Linked DNA regions of Mus musculus. The protein of the gene in region 1 interacts with the protein of each later gene in a biochemical or structural test. Links are inferred from orthologs where the notes say so. Each region holds a gene or a part of one and is shown on either strand. Other genes may lie near its edges.

Evidence for each region. The genes of interacting proteins can lie anywhere in the genome.
Region 2: the proteins of Ube2d3 (region 1) and Trim32 form a complex in vitro, tested with the Homo sapiens proteins (3 studies listed by BioGRID). The link is inferred for Mus musculus from reciprocal best matches to the Homo sapiens genes UBE2D3 and TRIM32.

Annotation. Positions count from the first base shown.
Region 1 is NC_000069.6:135,457,649-135,464,829, reverse strand, and holds part of Ube2d3 (ubiquitin-conjugating enzyme E2 D3), read right to left. Parts: intron 6,033-7,181; coding exon 5,955-6,032; intron 4,856-5,954; coding exon 4,750-4,855; intron 1,881-4,749; coding exon 1,787-1,880; intron 1-1,786. UniProt on the Homo sapiens protein: Accepts ubiquitin from the E1 complex and catalyzes its covalent attachment to other proteins. In vitro catalyzes 'Lys-11'-, as well as 'Lys-48'-linked polyubiquitination.
Region 2 is NC_000070.6:65,602,058-65,609,762, reverse strand, and holds the start of Trim32 (E3 ubiquitin-protein ligase TRIM32), read right to left. Parts: upstream 4,778-7,705; 5' UTR 4,694-4,777; exon of another isoform or gene 4,480-4,693; intron 4,448-4,479; exon of another isoform or gene 4,206-4,447; intron 1-4,205. UniProt on the Homo sapiens protein: E3 ubiquitin ligase that plays a role in various biological processes including neural stem cell differentiation, innate immunity, inflammatory resonse and autophagy.

The DNA of each region.
Region 1 (7,181 bases):
AGTATGTATATGCATAGAAAATTAGAAATTCTGGCCAATGAAGGCTAGAACTATGCAACTGAAAAATTCAATCTGAAACCTAGAGATTGAGAAGTTTGTTGGGTATTGAGAAAAAATGCCTTTGAAACCTAGGCAGAATACATTAGAAAGAATGATAAAAAAGCATTAATTTTTAAATGAAAGTTTAGTAGCAGTGATTGCTGCTAATCCTCACTGAGACCTGCTGAAAATAGGAAGTCTCTAGGAGCACACCCCATTTTTGTTAAAAAAGATCAATAGATAACTCATCCGCGACCCAGGTGACTACTGAGGAAGACCCAGTACTGACAAACACCATTCCATCCCCCCCACTTCATTATAGTGCGCTATCATACAGGCTAACTTACCCCAACCAAAAAAAGTGACAATACCTTAAGAAATGAGTACATAATAAAGAACAGGGGAAAACCTTTAGAAGAAATAATACCACTAAGTTTCATCTCAAACCAAGTAATGGACTTCAACTATTTGAAACAGCTCAACATATAAAAAACTCTCTACCAATTCAGAATTACGGCATTTAGAAAACCCTCTTCAAACAGCCAGCATTTTAAAACAAACGTGTTTTGGTTTAGCATAAAAAGAGCCACAAAATATAGCTAGCATTAATGCATGCTTGTCAGTCAGTAATGAACATTTAAGTTTGTGAGGTTTAAGTGCTTCCCTTTATATTTCTATTACTATCTTCCTGGTAAAAACCCCCGAGTAAAACCACCACATTCCATATAGTACTGACACAAAATGTTTACATTTCAACATCATGGTAACTTAATGAAGGATAAAGATACTCTTACACTTCTTCTTACTAAAGCTATATAACTGCTTTGCCATGCAAGAATCCCAAGCAGTAGTGAAGACAGAGTATAACTTTCAAAAAACAGAGATCAAGCAGTTAAGTAGTTTTCAGAAAACTGCCATATCTGTTATCTTTGGTTAGTTAATACAGTGCTTTAAAGCATGCAGCACTCAACTGCTGGCAGTACCATAAATAAGCGCACCATAGAGTACAGATCCTCTTACCCTACAACATAGCGTATTTCTCTGTCCACTCTCTTGCTAACCTATTGTACCTAATTGAATAAGCACACTTAGCATTAATTATAACATATGAAAGTTAAATGGTTAAGCTGAACATAAAGATAAATCAAATAGTTGATAAATTTAGACCAAAATTTAAAGGTTTATTTTATATATATATAAAGTATATATATATATATATGTAGTGCACTGTAGCTGTCTTCAGATTCACTAGAAGAAGGCATCAGATCCCATTACAGATGGTTGTAAGCTAGCATGGGGTTACTGGGAATTGAACGAAGGACCTCTGGAAGAGCAGCCAGTGCCCTTAACCGCTGAATCATCTCTCCAGCTCTAGACCAAAAATTTTACACTAGTCTTTTTTCTTTATGTTTGGAAAACAAACTCAGGTTTATTTCCCCAAACTGAATAATTAAGCAAGGCTTTAACACATTAGAAAACAAACATCTCAAGGGAGCTACTCACTGTCATGTATGCTATGAGCATATATTTATTTGGCAGGGTCTCACTAGGCAGCCTAGACTACCTTCAAACTTCTAATGCTGCAGCCTAAGCCATTATGCTGGTCCTTACTGCTTTTAATTATGTTTTAGTAACTAGCTTATGAGAAACAAACATAAAAAGGTACTGTCACAAATTTCAGCAGAAATAAGCTCAACTCACTAAATAAAACTGTTTATAGTCATTCATTAAACAATTGCATACTTACTTATCTCTGTCTGTTTTATAGATCCGTGCAATCTCTGGCACTAGGGGGTCGTCTGGGTTTGGATCACATAGCAGTGAACAAATGGATAAAAGAACTAAAAGGAAAAAAATCCAATTTCAGGTGTCTGGACAAGCAAATGATAAAATTTAAAAATGTACTCTAGACCTCATCATAATTTTATTATTCTATAATATCTCCACAGAGTTCTACAGAAAATAAGTTTCTATAATTAACAGTATTAGAAATGAAAGCTCTGATGGCACCAAAGTCAGTAATGATTAGGCCACATGCAAGGTGGTCGTCACACGACATCCTACTAGTTTGGTTCTTTAAAAAAAGGGGGGGGGGGCTATGTAAGAGAGGCATCAGAATTTAAGGATTTTCTTGGTACTTTCAGGAGATACAAAACTCTTAGTAGTATAATAGAGTCAAGGCTTGGCAAAAAAACCCCACCAAAACCAAGTAAGGGGGGAAAAATAGAAAAAACAAGAAAACCCAGAGGCTCATTCTTTGTTCTACCTTAGGAAAGGTTTCTCACAAAAACTACAAGAGCTGCTTTATTTCCTGGAATCAGAAGTGAAAACCACTGTCCCTAGAGACTGTGCAAATGACATCGTTAAACAGCATAAAGTCAAAGTAACTATCAAAGCTGCAAACACAGTGTCAAATTCAAATGAGGGGACTAAGTAAAATTGGAGAATATAATAACAACTCAGGTCAGTGTTTCTAAATCTGACTTGCAAGCTTTTAAATCTGTCAAAAAAATCAAGTTAATTTTAAGAACAAAACAAAATCCCCATCAATTCAGTCTGCATTTGTAAAAAATACAATTCAGAATTAAGAGTATATCATGCCAGGCATTGGTGGTACACGCCTTTAATCCCAGCACTTGGGAGGCAGAGGACTTCTGAGTTTGAGGCCAGCCTGGTCTACAGAGTGAGTTCCAGGACAGCCAGGGCTACACAGAGAAACACTGTCTCGAAAAACAAACAAACAAAAAGTACATTCCAGCAGGGAATGAGAAAAAAACAAAAAAACCCAGAAACCTGGCATTTAGATTATGAAGCATATGAAAAGAGAATTAAAAAAAAAAAAAAATCCAAAGAGGTTAAAAAATTAGTCCCAAGACTGTAAGCTCTTAAAAGAGTAATTGGAAAATGCAGCCAAATCCATGTAAAGATTCAAAAACATTTTAACAAGCATACGGAGAAATGCCTGTGTGGTGTAGTGTGGTGTGGTGCCGTGCCTGTAAACAGAACATACTTGTTTCACTCTGTATTTACCAAACTCATAAAACATTTTGGTAAAAAGCTAACAATTATTCCAAGTTTTAAAAATGTTACACTTCAGGATTGAGCCTGAAAATAATAGTTAACACAAATACCCCTAAGATTATAATTACTAGCATTAAAAACATGACTAATATAAAAACATTAATTACCCAAGCCTATAAATTACTAAAAGGCAATCTCATCCTTAAAATGTTTTGCGTACAATTGAATTTGCAGAGTAGAATGTCAAAAAAAGACTTGTCATTCAGAATCCAAAAGAGGACAGGAGGAACTTTCCATCTGGGGTATACCTGGAGATCTAGAATGTGTTAGACTTAACAGTACAAGATCAGTCTTTACGTAACAATCTTTCCCCAAATTCCCTAAGTATTCCACATTTTATTAGACACAGAATGATTATCATAGTTAAGTAATACCCAACTAAAGACAGGTTCAAAATCAGATACAGAAAATCTACACAGATGCTTATTAGAGTAGAAAGCTGTAAATGCTGTAAACCATGCCTGGCTATATTTTCCTATTCTCACCAAAAAGATGGCCCAACAGTTATAGGCACATACTATTTGTATAGAGGACAGTTTTAGTTTCCCAACTCCCACTCTTGGTGCCCCCTCACAACTGTCCTTTAACTACAGCTCCTGGTGATCTAGCATTCTCTTCTGGACTCCAAAACATCTGCATTCACGCGCACATTACCACCCACAAACAGTTTAGCACCAAAATAAGTTTATTAAAATTAATTTGGAGGCTGAAGCAATAGTTCAGTAGGTAAGAGCTCAGGCTAAACAAAAAGACCTGAGTTCAAATCCCCGCCGCCCATGAAAAGCTGTGCGTGCTTGAACCCTAGCATTGGTGGTAAAGTCAGGCAGACACTGAGAGTTACTAAGAACTTCTGGTTTAATGACAGAACCTAGCCAAGTGAAATAAAAGTATACAAGAGGAGTTTAATGACAGAACCTAGCCAAGTGAAATAAAAGTATACAAGAGGAAGATACCTCTGGCTTCTGATATATTACACTAAAAATAAACTGCCATTATGTGAAAAAAAAACTCACTAGGAAAATGCCCTACCAACATATTTTTAACTTTAGACAAAAATCCCTTTAAAATTTATTTTCCCTGATGAAGTATCAACCCAAAACACCCAAACCCACTAACTTTTTTTTCCTTTTTAAAAGATCTCAGTCTAGCCTCAGACTCACTCAGATTAACCAAGGACGATCTTGACTTCAGATCCTCCCGCCCCTATTCCCAAAAGTGCCATTGTTTAGGCATGTGCCACACCTGATTTATAGAACACTGGGGGTGGGGTGGGGGGTGAGTGGGAGAAGATTGAACAGTGAGCTTTGTGCATGCTAGGCAAGCATGTTATACTGAGATACATCCCCAATCTTGCAAGCAACTTTTTTTTTTTAAAAGATTTATTTATTTATTATATGTAAGTACACTGTAGCTGTAGTCAGACGCACCAGAAGAGGGCATCAGATCTCTGTTACAGGTGGTTGTGAGCCACCATGTGGTTGCTGGGATTTGAACTTCGGACCTTTGGAAGAGCAGTCGGGTGCTTACCCCCTGAGCCATCTCACCAGCCCGCAAGCAACTTTTAATTAAAATGTTGGCATAATAAAGTCACAGTAGCTGAAAACTATTATATTGAAATTATCATTTTACCTTTAGAAATAGTTAAAGCAGGAGACCACTGTGATCTTAGAATATCAAGACAAATGCTGCCATTACTGTTAATATTTGGATGATAAATTCTTGTTGTAAATGCAACCTAAAAAAAACAAATCACATGACACAACCTTTAGATGGCTTTTGCAAATGAAAATAAGTATACTTTAAAAAGCAAGGCTTAAAATACTAAGTCTCACCAGTGATCATAGTAATGAGAGAATATAAGGAGACAGGAAAATGTGATCAAAGCACGCATAACCATATAAGGAAATATTTATATATGGGAAATTTCAACAAAATCAATTTTAGGTAATAAAAGCTAGTTTTAAAAAGTTAACATCAGCCTCAGCACGGAAAAAGTAATTAACTTCGCTTTGAAGGTTAACTCTAGTAGTATAGCTTAACTATCAGAAGGCAGGCAATCTGTGAAAGGGAACTTAGGACCCTCAATGTAGGATACAGGCATATATTCAAATTCTATTCCCACTGCTGACACAACAAACTGAGTATAAGCTTTATACCCAAAGGAACTTGACTTTCTTACTACACTGTACTTTTAACATGACTAAAGAGGGTTAGAAAAACACCATAATTTAATACACATTATTTTCTAGTCATTCACATACCATGAATTTGAACTAATAGTTCTGAGAGAAAAAAAAAATCAAGGACTATACGCTCTGAACTCATTACTCTGCTTTAGCCTACAGAATACCAGGATTAAAGGTGTTGTTATAGATCCAGCAACTTAACCTTTAACACTATAGTCACCTAAGTGCATTAAAAGCAACTAGAACATAAGGCAAGTTGACTCTACAGCTTACTTACTAGACTCCAATACTTAGCTTAAGCATGGAAATACTTGAGCTTTGCAACTTCAAAAAGGCAAATCTTTTCTACATTACAGTGTTAAAATCTTTTGTCTAATCTTAGAAGTTAGGCATGAGTAAAGTATGTGGTATACTGCTAAACTTAGCTCTTGGAAGATGAAAGCTCTTAGATGAAAAAAGTTCCAGAATAGTCTTTAACAGGAGTTATCTACATAAATGCAGCTCATTTCTCTATGTATTACTTATTTTTATTCACCATGAATACAGGGCTTAAGCTTCAATTATTCAGAAACCTAAATTTACATGAACATTTTATTCTTCTAAAACAATCCATAAACTAACAGATTTTGGAAGGACAATAATACTTGCCTTAGGTGGTTTGAAGGGGTAGTCTGTAGGAAAATGAATTGTCAAAAAGAATACACCACCTTGATATGGGCTGTCATTCTGTAAAGAGAAAAATAGGCTTAATATGTCAAGATAATTCCTTAAAAAAAGAGATGGCTAAAATGCCATTTCCATACAAGCCTGGTAACCTGAGCTCAGTCCTTAAAACCTATGTAAAAGGTGGCAGGAGAACTGACTTCAGTGTTGTCCTATTCACATGTCATCACATGCACACACCCACACCCACACCCACAGAATGAATACCTATTTCAAATAACTAAAGCACCTTCAAGAGGCAAAACATATCTGAGTTTACTTTTCAATTGGCACCTTGAAATTCTTTCATAAAACCAAGAAAACTTTTCTTCTAAACTTAACACAATGTATCATACTCTTGAAAGTCAACAGCTAGAAAACAAAATTTCAAATTACTAGTGTCCTTTTCTCCTTTGTTCATTACAATGTGCACATAAATATTCAACCATGCTAACTAATATAAAGATTTGAAACTACTTTCTATGAGTTTTAATAAAAACTAAAATGAGAAATATACACTATTTCCATTCTATGAAATAAAGGACCAAAAGATACAGCCCATTACAGTGTCTATAGATCTATTCTCTGCTTTTAATCTGACCCCTCACATTTTACAGTTTCCACTTTCTTCTGTACTGTGTCTATTTACTTCTGAGCACATTTTCAAGCCTACTAAAATATACTTGTCTACTTGATGAGATGCATTCAAATCTCAAACTTCTATGTCAACCCCATTCTTCCTAAAACAAAAATAGAGGTCTCATACATGATTCTTTTATTTTCATTTGATTCACAGTCCTAAAGGACTCAAAGAATGTCAGATTTAGTGGCTTCTTATGCCTTCCATCTAAGGACTTTGAAGGCCGAGGCAAGAGAGTTACTATGAGTTTGAAGGCAGCTTGAGGTACAAGGTTGTAATTTCTAGGCCAGCCTTGGCAAGATGGTAAAGTGAAGTTCCATCTCCAAACACACACACCCCTACACCTTAAAATTTCTTGAACTAGCTGCTTTTTGGCCATTGCTATTTTAACTGTGATAGTATGAAATGACATAAAAATGTGAAGTTGGATCAATAACTCTTTTAAACATAGTTTTATTTCAGATTTCATTTATAGTTGATTATCCTCTGTCCATACTGACAAATACTGAAATGCCACAGACTAAAGTGGAAGT
Region 2 (7,705 bases), on another chromosome or scaffold:
ACCAGAGCAGGGCAGTCGTGGCTCACGCCTTTAATCCCAGCATTTGGGAAGCAGAGGCAGAGGCAGGCGGATTTCTGAGTTCGAGGCCAGCCTGGTCTACAGAGTGAGTTCCAGGACAGCCAGGGATACACAGAGAAACCCTGTCTCAAAAAAAAAAAAAAAAAAAAAAAAAAAAAAAAAAAAAAAACCCAAAACAAAAACCAAAACAAAACAAGAATCAGAACCAGTACTGGTATTAGCAAAATAATTCGGTTTACAATCCAAGTTTTGAAAGGAATGAAGAATTGTCCTCTCCTGGACAGCAAAGGCACGTAAAGATTACTAAAAGGAATAGTTAACTTGGGAGGGATTGGGTTGAGAATGTGGTCACCCAGGCCACGAAGCAATGAGTGAATGAACCCATCACTTCCAATCAACACATCAACTGCTGGAGCCCCTTCTAGCAGAGACTAAGTATGGAAAGGTAGAGTGAGCAATGACCTCAGAGTAACACTGATGAAGAAACCGAGACTAAGAGAGGGAAATTAGCAACTCCCACATCCTAAGGCAAAGGGGCATGGGTTGGAAGCTAACGGTGCTACAAGGACTAAGAAAGTACTTGCAGGACCTGGGCATTCCGGCTTTAGATTCCAGCTCTATCACTTCCAGTGGAGATTTGAAAGGTTTCCTAACACCTCAACTTAGGTATGAAATAGCCTTTCAAGGTGATGCTTTCTCACTAGCAGAGATTAGAAGAGATTGAGCAAAAAGCACTTTGGACAGCACCAAACTAGGCACAGAACTAACTGTGTACAGAGCCTTTATTATAATTATCAGGAACAGTGACTACAATTGCTACTGCTTGCCATAGCCATTGGCCAGCCTGTGATATGAAATGAACAGGCTCCTGTCGGAAGGCAGATGCCTAAGGCAGCAGCCATACATTGAAATAATCTAAACTCAGGGCCTTCTGGAAGATTGCTATTTGACCTCAAGCTTTCCCACGCCCCTCTTTGTTTCTTGGGGGGGGGGGGGGTTAGGCCATAAGCAAACCTGTCGAACCTTAAGCAATTAACGAAGCAGATCTTTCCTAAGCAATTACCACTAGTGTAGTCCTGCCACGATGGATGGAGATGGAGACAACGTTTAGAAAGAGATGTGAAAAAAAAAATCATCTAAAAACTTGACATGAAGAACCATTCTACAATTACTCTGCTTCTCACATGGCCTGTAGGGTTTTGATGTTGTTGAGACTTATCACCCCTATTCAGGCCAGCACTCAAGCTGCATTTACTCCTTATGCACTTTAACTCAATTCGAACCAAGTGTGAACCTGACTCGGTGCCACAAAGGCCACTCACTAACAGACTGACTATTCACCCTAGTTCTGGCTGGGGAGACAAGTGTGAACTTCAGATTGAGGGCACTTATGGTGCCTGCTGATAGCTAAAACCATGTCTTCTAATGGCCATCTGGAGTAACGAGTGCCAGGAACCCTCTACACACTGCATGTCTTCTCTTAACTGTGTGAAGGAAGTGTTAGTCCACATCCTAAACATCATTAAGAAACAAGTAACCTGTTCATGTTCTCCCACCGTGGTATGTAGTAGAGTTGTCCCCCAGTTGCTCATCTGTGAACTGGGCCACAAAAGGGCTCACCCAAAACATGTACTTTTATAGAAGCGGAGACTACTGTGCCGGGCAGTGGTGGCTCACGCCTTGAATCCCAGCACTTGGGAGGCAGAGGCAGGTGGATTTCTGAGTTCTAGGGCAGCCTGGTCTAAGAATTGAGTCCAGGGCAGCCAGGGCTACACAGAGAAACCCTGTCTCGAAAACACAGACCAAAAGACTACTTTTACCTGCAGGTAAGAGTTGGCTTAGAGGTTGGTAAATTCATCCAGGAATGACTTTTAAAACATACCTTTCTATCAGAAAGGCACAATGGAAGAAGTCTCCCAAAGGTAACACCATCTGCATACAGGAGGGTGCACTCTAGGAGGCTTGCCAGCATGTGACTTCTGATTTATATGCCCAAATTAGCCACTTGCTCTGTAACCCAGGATATGTCATTTAACAAGTGGCTCTTCACTTTCTGCCTTGTAGAATCAGGAGTAACATTTAGATTGTGGGCCTTATGGAGAGAATGCACATTAATCAGCACTCAGCCGAGCTCGCTGTGTTTTCAGACAGAGGCTGGCAAGTGCTTGACCACCAAGCAAGCAGTAAAACAGCCGATTCCACGGCCAACTCAACCTCCGTCAGGTGTTTTCCTAAGCGATCTGAGTTGATGTCATCGCAGCTAAGTGTTCTGCCCTCAGCTCCAGTCTAATTTTGTTCTCTAAACTGCCTTCTGTAGCGTAGCTAGGATTGGAGTTGATAAAGACAATGCTGCCCTTCTGTGCCAGAGACAAGATGCACAAAGGAGAACATTCAGAGCAGTTTCCTTCCGTCTAGCACTGCCCTTGAGCCTGAGCCCTCCTTATCTCAGCCGTGTAGCTCCAAGCTCCTTGCACTATCTCCCCATTGGCTCTGGTCTAAGAGCAAAGCAAGAACAAAGTCCAGGGCTTCTCTTAATCAAGAGAAGTCACCCAGCTTCTGACTACGGGGCAAGCCTCCCTTTCCTTAGGAGAGGCTGCAAAGGGAAGACCAAGCCGACCGCAGCAAACCAGCAATGGAAGAGAGGATGTGGCGGGGAGCTACATGGCAGGAATGTGGCTTTAGACAAGTGACCTCCTAAGCCTTAGTTTCGTGGGTAACACTGAACAGTGAATGTATATTTAGAAGGAATATCATGAGAAGAAAGCACACATATTTTCAAAAGTAGTAAATTCTGAGCACTTTTACTGGGCACCAAACAGTAAGCACCCTGATTTAGTACACTGAGTCCTCACAGCCATTCTATGACGTAGGTCCCTGAAGAGCTTGTGCACTGAGAGGTCAATTGACTCTTTAAAGGTTACAAAGCAGAAAGAGAAAAATAAATAAATAAATAAATAAACAAATAAATAAATAAATAATGCCAGGATCTAACCAGAGCATTCTTGACTCTGATGCCAGGACCCATTTTGGCATGACTGCCATTTCTAGCTAAATGATAGTTTATTGTAGGGGTTGTTCACTAGAAACCAGTATCCCCCCCCCCAAGTATCCCCCCCCCCACACACACACAACCCCTCAACTATGACAACTGACAATGCCTCCATCCAGACACGGTCAAATGTTTCCTGGCAGAACAAAAGCACCCTGTCTGAGAACCCTGGCTTTAGGTAATGGCACAGGCTAAATACTCAGTAGACAGGAGGCTCCGCCTTGTTCCAACCTTGTTTTGTTTCTCACCCAGAACCATTGTCTCTGTGAGCTATAATGGACCTCCTATAAGATAATATTAGGTTGAAGATCATTTTGGCTCATACCTTGGACAGGGAAAAGGCTAGGTAGCAGAAGCCCTTAGGTAGTTCACTGCTTCTTCCCCAAGGCCTATAATATCGGGTCTGTGATGAGGAGGTGGGGGTGGTCAGAGTGGGTATAGTCAGAATACATGCCTGCCTCAGGATTAAAGGGCCTTTAGTTAGTAAGTGAGGAAGAATCTGCCCTTCAAAGAATGTCAAACTCTCCTTCAGGATTTCTGAAGACTGGTGTCTTTATTCCCAAACCCTTACATTCTCCTAAATTCCATTCATTTATACATAGTTTATTTATAAATTACTTTCAGGTCCCTGGGTCTCCAGAAGACCCTCTGGGTTCAGTTATGCCAAGACCAAAACAAAAACAAAAACAAACAAAAACCTCCTAAGAACCTACTCACAAATTTCATTTGGTTTTGAATTCTATAATCTAGTTACAGCATTCACTCCCCACCATTCATTCTCCACAAACCTCATTCTCAACGCTAAATCCCAAATCTATCATTCAACCTTTTAGACTGTATGCTGCAGCCTTGCAATTCACCAATAGCTCTTATGTGTCCCTCATCCCTCCAATACATCCTTTAATCTATTTTCAAATTCCCACATCTATCACCCCTGTATGCCATCTCCAAACTCCAATCCTGTACCTCAGATTTCTGCCCTCCTTCAATCTGATCGCTCATCTGCCCATCATCCCCATCTTGTACTGGGCCACCTCCAACCCCCGCCCCCCACCTCCGCCCCCGTCCTGCCTCACGTGTTGCCTTCAAACCTTTGCTGCGATTTTCTAACTGGGTACTGATTCCCTCGGGAACTCACCCCTCAGTCTTTCCCAGATTCCGCTACAGAAATCCCTTTCTCTTCAGCAATTAGGATCTTCCAAGACCTTGGCTGTTTTGATCTCAGATCTTGCTATCATTACACCGATCTCCTCAAAGCCCCTAAGATTCTGCCCGCCAACACCCAACCTCATCCAGGCCTGCCAAATTCCTTTATGCTTTCTGATATTCTGCACCCAGATACCTCCAGGGACGTCAGATCCTCCCATCTCCCACATGCTGCACCCCGTCTCTCCGCATGGCCCCCACATTACCTCATACCTCCCGACATGCTGCAACTGCAAATTTCCTCAGCCCCTTTGCTCCCCTCCCCCAGCTGCATCTCATCTCCGCCGAATCGCTCCTGAGCCCGTCCCTTCCGAATCCGATCCTGCCACTCCGATCCAGTCCCCAAATCCTGCCATTCAATCTTGGATCCCCGCGACCCACCACAGTCCCTGGTCGCAGACCCTCCTTCCCGCCCCCTACCTGACCGCCCGCAGCTCCGACGCGAGTCCACCGCTGCCAGCCCACCCGCCCGCTGCCTTCTGCGCATGCGCTAGCACGTCCTTCCCATGGCAGTCGCCAATTCGTACAGTCGCCTGCCCGTCAACTTGCCCCGCCTCCCGAGGCATGCTGGGGCTTGTAGGTCTGTGGGCTCAGCGCCCGCGGCCCAGCTGAATAGATAGGGATGGCTCCGGAAACCTAGGCCATTGCAGCTTTCTGCCCCGTTTCAGAGTCTAAACATGGTTAGTCAATGCTAATCCCCCAGTAGTAGTCTCCAGAAAGTTCGGGCACTTTGCAGACAGACGCCTCTTTGAAGAAGACAAGCACACTCCCTTCAAAGAGCTGCAGGTCCCCGGGCTAGGTGTTTCTGCCTGTGACACATCCCAAAGTGGAGTCACTGAACACATGCCCCTTAGGAAAGACGTTTTCTTTGCCAAACAGCGCAGAGGCGGATAGCAGAGGGAGAAACAGGGAAAAGCCTGCATTGAGCCTTGTCAGACGGGAGGTTTTGTGGCCAGGACCTCCTGGTCCTGAAGGTAGTTTGTGGACAGGTAATACCTGCTCCTGAATGCGATAAACACACAGTACTAGTGAGGAATATGAAGGAATCTGAAATATTATGCTCTCATATTTGAAATTCCACCTAGCTGTGTACCCTCTGCACAATGATAAGACAACAAAACAAAAACAGTAATACCTTTAGACACTTTCCGACAGACTACAGACTTTGAAAAGAAGCTGAGACCTAGGGGTTAAAAGGCAAAGTAACCAGTTTCTACCTGTCAGAACCTGGCTTTAATTTCCCAGAATCACTCTTAACTTCATTTTTCTACTTCTTTATCTCAAAATAAAGTTAAGGATTGTTTTGATGAGTTACTAATAACTCAGAAAGGTGGGAAAAGTAAATTTATCCCCTTCCCCCACCTCACTCCCGCCCCTGTCCCACACATCTTGTCCAAGGTTCGGTATACACCTGGCATCGATTTTGATGGAACTCTGAACCAGGCTATTCATTCTCCAACTTGTTTCTCTTCTCAGTGATTCAGGAGTTCTCACATGATTTTATCCCTGGCCGGATTTCCTGATTATACATTCTGAGTACAATTTGATATCTCAGATAATTCTAGAGCCCTGAGCCAACCCAGGCACCCAGAACTCCCAAGGCTTTCCCAGAGAATATGTGACTCAAAGTTCCTTGAAGAAATTATATCTGTGCTGGCAATTCTATGGACTGACCAAATACCTAGAACTGGGAAAGGATAAAACATATTGTAGACACATAGTCAATTTATCTTGGGCTAGCTTTAGTTCTCTTAATGGCCATTTATTAACAACCTATGACTCTGGCCTAACAATCTTCTGACTATAAGGTAAACCATTGGAATGTATAGTTAAAGTTAGAAGACTATGAGCTTCCACTAAGAATGTTATAACATCCGGAAAAGATAAAAGAACTTTCCCTATCTTGCTGTAGCCCATCTACCTGATATCCCCCACAATGCATTTAAGTTAAGACTTAGGAGTTTTTTGTTCTGTGAATATAAATATCCATAGGCCTTTTCCACAGTAGAGTGTGTTATTTGGGATAGATGAGAATCTGTATACAGGCCATGGTTAGTCATATTTGATTCCGAATTTCTTTAGGAGCAAAAAAGAAGAAAAGTACAGCATTTCACTCTCTCTCCCTTTCTGACATCTGAAATTCAGGGGCTCAGGACTGTGGAACTCACTTCGTAACAGGTTGCATTAAAAACTAACTAGGACTTTGTTCCTGTTTGGTTTATTTGAGACAGCATTTTGGTGTATAACCTAGGTTGTCCTGTACCCCCACTATATAGTTGTGCTGGTAAGATTTTGTTGTTGTTGTTGGTTTTATGTTTGTTTGTTTTTTGTTGTTGTTGTTGTTTGTTTTTTTGGGGGGGCTCAACTTCACACAAATCTAGGCACATCCAGGAACCTCACCTGAGTAAAACAAACACCTTCATCAGCTTAGCTTGTAGACAGGTCTGTGGGGCATTTTCTTGACTGATAGTTAACATGGGGAGTAGCATCCCTAGGCAGATGGTGCTGGGAGATAGAAGAGAGGTACCTGATAATAAGCCTGGGGAGCAAGTTAGGAAGCAGCACTCCTGCTTTATCTCTGCTTTAGTTCCTGCCTCCGGGTTTCTGGTCTTCCTGAGTCTCTTCCCTGTCTTCCCTTAACGATGCACTGGCAACAGAATGTAGAAACCAAACAAACCCTGTCCTCTCCAGGTTGCTTTTGACCAAGGTCATCATCACATCAGTAGAGAGCAAATTAGGACAGTGGTCCCCTCTGCCTGTAAACTGTCCATTCTCCTTACCCATTCTCCTAAATGTGAGCATGGCAAACCTGTGTCATTATGCCAATGGGTTTAATTTATTCTTAATTGTCTGACTTAAGATTAGTGTAGCTGCAAAAGGATACAGTGGGATAAGTCAAGTAAGGGTTGGGTATTTTTTTAGTACTTCATAGACACTTACACACCATATCTGACCCTTTCAATAATGCTGTAGGTGGATAAAGAAACCAAATCGCATGTTACAGTTACCTCCCGGAAGCACAGAGCTAGAGTCAAAACCACCCTCCACAAGCAACCCACATTTTATGAGAGGAGCTTTCTTTCTATTTGTTAAGAATTATTATTCAGAATATTCAAAACAGATGAGAGATTATAACGTTAAGTAAAGGAATGTGTGACAGACATGGTTATGATCTCCTGGTGATTGTTTTACTCTTCCTTGAGCAGTTCAGAGCAACGTCACCAGGGGAGAACACCACACACAGCTGCAGCCTCACCACCTTCAGGTTATTTGAGGGAATGGATGAAGAGAGATGGCTTGCTAACTTAATGGAACTGAGAAAGCCTTGTGAGCTTAGCATGAACACCCAATGTTGACATTTTAGCAATGTGAATACTGAATACCCTTCGTATTGGCTTTCTGTCACGTCAGGCTTGCTGTAGCTTCTTCTTC